2 linked regions of the Coturnix japonica genome follow. The protein of the gene in region 1 binds, or shares a complex with, the protein of each later gene. Links are inferred from orthologs where the notes say so. Each region holds a gene or a part of one and is shown in the gene's direction. Other genes may lie near its edges.

Region 1 (3,646 bases):
TGTGTCTATTCTTTGCGTTCTTAGTATTTCATCATGTCATACGCTGGCATATTCAGCTCTGCTGTAGGGGTGATTTATCATTGGAGAGTGCTGATTCGTCTTAATTTTTCTTCCTTTTGTCTGCAAGATAAGGTTTTAAATTCTCTGAGGCTTCCTCAGCAGCCTCACACCAAAGCGATAGGACTGTTATTTATAGCTATCGCGTTTTAGATGCAAGCATGTTTCTGTTGATCTGCTGCACTAAATGGCTTTCTCTTGTCTTTGGACATAATTTTAAAACTTCATGAATACAGAAAAGGAACGTGGAAACGATCAGAAGCTCTGTAAAGTATTCTGACGTTTTGAGACTGGTTGTTTTTTGTTCTTCTGAACTGAGATGGTTTCTTTTTATCGCGCGTTAATAAAGTACTTTCGTAATTTCACAGCACCCAAATGCTTGCATAGAAAATAATTTTTATGACAATGTAAAAAAAAACAAAACAAGCAAGCCCCCAAACCAGCCCTGTGTGCTTTTAATTCCTAGTTGAGGATGCTTAAATTCTACTTGCTTTCAGTCCTCAAAAAATTAAGTTTAACCTGACTTTGGACACTGTAATTGCCTTAACAAAAAGAAGCAACTCAGACTTTATAGAGAAGTGTCCTAAAATATTCATTCCGATGCTCTGAAAGCCATGTTATGAAATATTCCTAGTTTTATTTTTTCTTAGTTATAGGTTTGCGTATTTTTTGACAAGCTAGATGGACGTTCTAGATGCTGGCCAAATATGTATCCATTTATTCAATTGCAATAACCTCGTTCTTCAGTGGAGATGTTTATTTTCTCAGAACACCGACTTTTTAAATATGTGGATTTCCATGTAGATGTCCTCGTCAACAAAACCACAGCTCCCCCTCTTCTATTCAGAGTACATCTCAAAGGAAACAAAATCTTGTTAGTGACTTAAAGAGCCTTTCTCGAGTTTGACAAGAATGGGGCTATGTGTGAGGTAACTGGGCTTGTAGTACGCAAGCAAGGACTTCATATTACGCTGCACTTTCCTACAGTCTTTACACTTTTTGAGGTTGTCAGCATAAGTTGTTTCCATCCACACCTGATGGCTAAGACTTTGTTCCGGATCGCTATGTATCTCCACCCCTCTGAATTTTTTTTCAATAGGTGCACTAGGCCTTCCAATGAGGGGAATGAGCAACAATACCCCTCAGTTAAATCGCAGCTTATCACAAGGCACTCAGTTACCGAGCCACGTAACGCCAACAACAGGGGTACCAACAATGTCACTTCACACGCCTCCATCTCCGAGCAGGTATTTATTGATAGCCAATGTTTCTGCAATTGTGTCTTTCGGCAGAGCACTTACTAAATGTTCTGCGTATCGTGCCACAGCTACTTTTAGACTGATTAATTAAAAAAGAAAAACAGTAATTTTTTATTGACCACTGCCTGTGTTAGGTAAGTAATACCGTAAAACGGTAGGATAAGACTTAACTTAAGACAGTGTTTGATTTTGTATGTAAAGGATGTAAAGTTGTTGGCAAATTCTGCTTCAGAATGTAAGAGTCTGTTTTTCAGTTGTTCTGGTAAACAAATGGTAAATGTTTTTATATGGCTGTATTACAGTATGAAAATATTAAGGTAGTAGGTCTGAAGTGCTCTTTAAATAAGAGTTGTAACGCCTCTTCAAAAGCATAGTACTTAAGTATTTATCTGAACCTGACCGAGGACTTGATTGGTACGCAATGGGTCATCTGGTGTTTCTGAAGAAATCCAAAACTACGTTAATTATAGAGAGTACTCCAAACATACAGTGTTGAGTCTAAGCACAAATTAAGTTGCTACAACTCTTAAGTGTATCCTACATGAGTAATTTAAATGAGTAACCAAATACTATTGTACAGATTCATCTCTGTGGATGGTTTTTCTCTTTCAGGGGGATATTGCCTATGAATCCTAGGAATATGATGAACCACTCCCAGGTTGGTCAGGGCATTGGAATTCCCAGCAGGACAAACAGCATGAGCAGTTCAGGGTTAGGCAGCCCCAACAGAAGCTCTCCAAGCATAATATGTATGCCAAAGCAGCAACCCTCTCGACAACCTTTTACTGTGAACAGGTAAGGCTGTTTGGTCAGACCATGCCTGTGCAGCCATGGGCGTGCTTAAGATCTGCTTTCAAAGTCTATTTTTTTATCCATTAGAATAAAACTTGAAAGTGTTGCTTTGCGTCTTCCGGTCTCTCAACGCTAACTTTCCAAGCTGCTGTCAGTAGTTGTGCAGCCATTTTTGAAGCCTTTCAGCTAAATTCTGTTTCTGACTACTTAATTTCTACTATTCCTTCTTTAAAGTATGTGATGTTTCTAGTATGTTCCCAAGTTTATTTTTGAAACAGACTTTGTTTTTTGTATGTATACATCTTCTTGAAAACTCTCCATCTATGAGTTTGGGAAGAATTTAGTCAAGAGATAATCCAGAATAACTGTTTCAAATTGTGGTTCTGTAAGAATAGTTAACTGATTTGGACACAATGGAGACCTCATATTTTACTTTAAATTCTGGAATAATATGGAAAGCAGTGGTTTGCAACTCATCCAAGGTGCTTGTTTTGATGCCAGAATTTTCTCAGTTACTTCTGCTCTTTTTTTCTAACTCTGGGCAAGATTGTGGCATCAGAAATCATTGTGCTTTACCTGTCTTGTTGATATGTTTATGCTTAGTTTATATTGATAACCTTGTAATAAAATGTGTGTCAATTCCAATTACATAGTGTGTAATCAGCTTCATGCAGCTGACTGTTTTCCAGACTTCTTTCCGGAGCCTCATGATCCCTGTGTTCCCAGGTCATTCCTCTTTCTCGCTTCATGCCCTAGGCTAGGGGACTGAGCTCAAATACACTCCTGGCAATCAAATGCTACCTCTAACCCAGTGTAGTATTTTTACTAATCAAATGAAAAAAAATGGATGCCAGTTATCTGAAACTTGATCAGTCTTCTTAATTCTGTATCTTTGCATTATGATGTAGGCATAAGTAACCTCTTTCTTCATCACAGCAATAGAGGTTTGATAATAGTAATTTGTGTTCTTGGAGTATGAGAAGACTTTGGTCAGAGACCACTCTGAAAGTAATGCCTCCTATTTTATTTCCATGGAAACTACAACAGATATAGAGACTATAACAACTATAACAACAGAGAATTTGATGGAGCAAATTCTCAGCTACGAAACACCATTTTTCAACATAGTCACTGCTGTTAGCTATGCATATTTGCCCATGATGAGCAAGACCTTGCATGCCATGCTTGTCAAAATCTGCACCAGCTGAGGTGACCCACTCACTGCCTCAGTGTGCTCACACCCACTGTTTGGTCTCCGTAAACATTCAGTAAGTTCCAATGGAAGCCATTTATTCCAGATGGAGGAATTCACTTCCACACCTTTGCTTATCCGTGCTTCCATCTCAGGTGCCATTGTGTCAGACTGCCCCTCTGCTGCCTTCTGTCACACAGCAACAACATGTAACAGAATATTGGTGGGATGGTTCAGCCCCCACTGCCATACCACCAACATCTGCTTCTGATGTTGTGGGATAACACAGTAAAATAGGAGGCATTTCTTAAAGAGCGGCCGTTGTGTCTTGGCCTTTTCTTTCCTG
Region 2 (4,132 bases), on another chromosome or scaffold:
CACATACAGTGCAGGGAATGACATGTAGAGCTGCTTTGCTCAGTTCTGAATGGCTGTTGGCCCTGAACAGCCAGGCTGGCACTGAATGCAGAGTCCGCGCCGCATCCAGTGACCAAGCCAGCTCAGGTATCTGACACAACCACAGAGAGGTAGTTTGCTATCCGAGAACATCTCAGATATATGATAGGATAAGACTGAACAGAAATCTGAAGTACAGCATGATTATTTCCCAAACCAAGTGCCAGAGGGCTAACTAAGCCTTCCTGACGAGAATGGGGTCACTTTTCAGAGCCCTGCTCACATAGGTTACTGCTGGTGTTCCTCAGAAGCACAGCCTGCTTCAGTGCCTTTCACATTCTTAGTAGAGAATGCCTCATTGCACACCAAAGAGAGTGCCATTCATTTCCAGCTATGTATCCATTTATACCAAGGCAAGTGAGGCTTCAACTCTTATTTACCCTTCCCATTCCAGAAACAGAGTTGTGATCTGGGAATTCTTATAGCATAATAGAATCATAGAGTATCCTGAGTTGAAGGGACCCACGAGGACCACTGAGCTCTGGCAGCTCAGGGCCATGCCCACCGCCCTGGGCAGCCTGTTCTGTGTCCATCACAAGCTCTGGTGATGGACATCTATCTTGAACCTCCCTTGAGGTTTTCTCTTTACCGTTCCTTTTGATGTGGAGATGCAGACTGGTTCAAATAACCAAAAACATAAAAGAAAAGTGAAGTTCCAGCAGATGGAAGCCCGTGGCCATGGCACAGTGAAGGATCTGGGGCAAGGATCTGCTTTATTATGGATACACGCGTGGAAAAGACATCCCTTTTGCTAAACATGCGATCCATGCTTTGCCTGAGGTCATGTACTGCAGCTCTGCATCGCATTTATGTGGAATTTAAAGTTCTTTAAGAAGAAGACTTCCTTTAGGCTCCCTGGCCTCACACTGGGAACTGCTTTACCGCCATACACCGCTGTGGCAAGAAACACACGTCACTTTTATCCACTTTTCCGTGACCCCCCTTATCCTTCCCACCGGAGCTCCACAACACACGCCTCGGTTCGGGGGCCACGACAAACCCCTCCGGGCCCATCAGGCGACCCCCGAACCAGGCGACCCCCGAACCAGGCGACCCCCGAGCTCCGCTCAGCGCCCTCCTGCGGTCCGGCCTTGCGCAGCCGCGGAGCGGGGGCGGCCTCGGCGGGCGGGGCGGAGGGAGGAGGAGGAGGAGGAGGAGAAGGGCCGGCCCGCCCGCAGCAGCCGCCACCACCACCGCCGCCATGATGCTTGTTTGCTTTCAATGAGTGTGAGGAGGAGGCGGGGGGGAGCTGCTCTCCCGTCCGGCCCGCGGCAGGAAACAAAGAGCCAGGCAGGCGGCGGAGCGAGGGCGGCGGGGGGACGGGGATGCTGCAGCCACAGGTATCGGGGGCTCGGGGCGGGGCGGCCGAGGAGCCTCGCCTCGAGGGGGGGCTCGTGCTCAGGGGGACGGGGAGGGCGGGGAGCGGGGCTGCGGGGGTTAACGGGGGTGGGGGGTGCGGGGGGGGGAGGGGAGCCGTGTTATTATGGCGAGCGGCGTAGGGTGGGGGGGATCCTCCGCTATGGGGGGGCTGAGAGTTCGGTGAGAGGAGGGGGGGCTGTTTTGTTGTGTGTCGGGGCGAGCCGGGGGCGGCCGGGCCGGGCTCGGGGCTGCGGGCGGGGGCCGAGCTGGCAGCTGCTCGGCGAGAATCGGGCTGCGATCGTGTCGGAGGGCAATTAAGAGGAATTAGTGTAACGGCATCTGGAAGCTCCAAGTTCTTTATATATACGTATATATGTATTTATTTATTTATTTATTTTCCCCCAACTGTTTAAAAATAATTAAACAAAAGGCAGAGAGGGAAATGACATCAATCTGATAATGGTCCAAAGCGCAATTTTCCAGCCATTTCGCTTCCTTTCCTTCCTCAACCCTCCGCTCGCCGACGGACGGCGCTGCCGGGGCGAGGCCTGTGGTGGCAGCGGGCGGCCCGCGGCCCTGCGAGCGGCCGGGCAGGGGGGGAGAGACGGAGAGCCAATCCGAGCGCTCAGAGCGTGATTGGCAGCGCCGGCGGCCAATGGGGGCGGGGTAGGGCGGGGCTAGCGCTGACATGTTGGGCATGGGGGGGGCACACACCTGCGGGGGTAAACAGAGGGGAATTGGGACGGAGCTTCCTTGGGTGAGTGGGGGGATGTGGAGCTGTGTGAGCACGCACGTGTGTGAGCTCGCAGCTTGTGTGAGCCCATGGAGCGTGGAGAAGTGGGTCAGCGGGGCCTGTGTGCCCGCAGGGAGCTTGTGGCTCAGGGCTTTGTGGGGAGCTGTAAGCTGGGATCACAGGGGGCTTTAGGAAAGTCTGTGTCTGAGCATCTGTCTCCATCGTGGTGTGTGCACGGTGCAGCTCTACGACTTGTCCGTGAATATTAGAAATCCATATCAACCGTGCTCATCGTTTTGTAGTGTGAGAGTACAGCCATAACAGATACAGTCAAACTGGTTTGTTGTTTTCCTTCTCCCCCTCCTCCACCCTCCCCTTCTTTTCTTTTTAATGTCTAACTCTACAAGTGTGCAGGGACACAGCACTGGAGCAGGCAGCCCAGAGAGGCCATGTTCTTCTATGGCAGTATTCAAGACCCATCTGGATGCTTTCCTATGCAACCAACTGTAGGGAACCTATTAGGAGGGGATCTCCAGGGTCCCTTCCAACCCCAACATTAATAGTAACCCACGCTGTCATTCTGCAGGCAGCTATTTGCCTTGTAAGCAGGGTTGCAGATCTCCAGGATTTTCTCTTTGATTGTTTGTTTTTTTAATTGATAGTTTTCTAGGGTTTATTTTCTTAATCTAGCTCTCACCACAACGGGTAACAAATCAGAATTCAAGGGATTAAGGAATACCTGCAGTACGTGTCTGGCTTAAAGACAGAGATGTGCAAGTGTTGACTGGTAATTGTTTTGTATCTTGCATTTTTTTTTCATTTTAGAGCAGGTCTCGTAATTGGGAATTTATCAGCATTTCCACTGGGGTAATTTTACAGGATTATCCGCCCTCTGTTCTTCCTGCTGGTTCATCTGGACTCTGTGGAGTGTGCTGCTGGCCATGAAGCCTTCTGTGGGGGTTTATTCATGCTCTTACAGACATGGAGCCCTTCACATTTGGATTAACTCTTTACTCACTTTTCATCTGAATCGTGTGGATCAGTCTGTTTATAAAACGGACACTACCCTGCATCCCCTTTCTGTTTGCATTTTGGAGTTGAACTCTATGCAGACACAATGAGTTCAGGCTGTTTACTTTGCTTGAATTTTAGAGGAAGAACTGGAATTTAAAGGTAGATGAGACTGTGATACTGCAGGGGCAGGTAAATGCTTTTGAAATTTTACATAAGAAGTCTTGAAAACACGTTACAAAAGGCCACAGATTGTGTGAGCATGGTGCTCATCAAGGTAAAAACCACTAAGATCAGGCAATGCTGAATATTAGGAAGTCTTATTCTTCTAAGTAAGTGCAGCGTTCATGATGGAAAACACTCTTTAAAATGGGGTAGAATACTCCTAAGATAGAGCAAATAGAAAATGCTTTCCCAGCTCACCAACAAAAGCACCTATTCTTTAAAGCGTGGCAGTGTAAATAAAAGCAATCGTGTTAAACTACCACTAAACAGCTCAGTATTCTTGTTTGTAGTGCCGTGTGTTGTTATTTGGATTGCCACCGTGCCTGGGAGGCTGGGTGGTGAACCAGAATTCCCCATTCAAGTTGTGCAGCACCTGCTGCAACAGGCAGCCCTGCTGCAGAGGCTGCAGCCTCCTGCTTCTGTTTGCTAGCAGGCTGCAGAGGTCTAAAATTAGCCCCTTGTTTTGTCATGTTATTGTGTTTATGTTTGTATATGTAGAGCTTGTAACGTGCTGTCCCTGGCTCAAATGGGGCCACATGATGGGAAGGTTATATGCAGACTGAATGAAGGTTTATGAATGAAGGTTGTATGCAGGCTATAACCTTATGAATGAAATTGCCATTCAGTCTTTAGAATTGAAATATACAAGGCATGTCACTTAAAGGGTTTGGGTTTTTTTTGCTAGGAGAAATGTATGGCATTCAAAGGTAATAGTGATGTATGATA

What was found. The genes of interacting proteins can lie anywhere in the genome.
Region 2: CNOT2 (region 1) and CNOT6 share a complex: the UniProt entries of both Homo sapiens proteins name them as parts of the CCR4-NOT complex. The link is inferred for Coturnix japonica from reciprocal best matches to the Homo sapiens genes CNOT2 and CNOT6.

The regions. Positions count from the first base shown.
Region 1 is NC_029516.1:32,450,232-32,453,877, forward strand, and holds part of CNOT2 (CCR4-NOT transcription complex subunit 2), read left to right. Parts: intron 1-1,156; coding exon 1,157-1,304; intron 1,305-1,928; coding exon 1,929-2,111; intron 2,112-3,646. UniProt on the Homo sapiens protein: Component of the CCR4-NOT complex which is one of the major cellular mRNA deadenylases and is linked to various cellular processes including bulk mRNA degradation, miRNA-mediated repression, translational repression during translational initiation and general transcription regulation.
Region 2 is NC_029528.1:4,221,159-4,225,290, forward strand, and holds the start of CNOT6 (CCR4-NOT transcription complex subunit 6), read left to right. Parts: upstream 1-1,232; 5' UTR 1,233-1,418; intron 1,419-4,132. UniProt on the Homo sapiens protein: Poly(A) nuclease with 3'-5' RNase activity.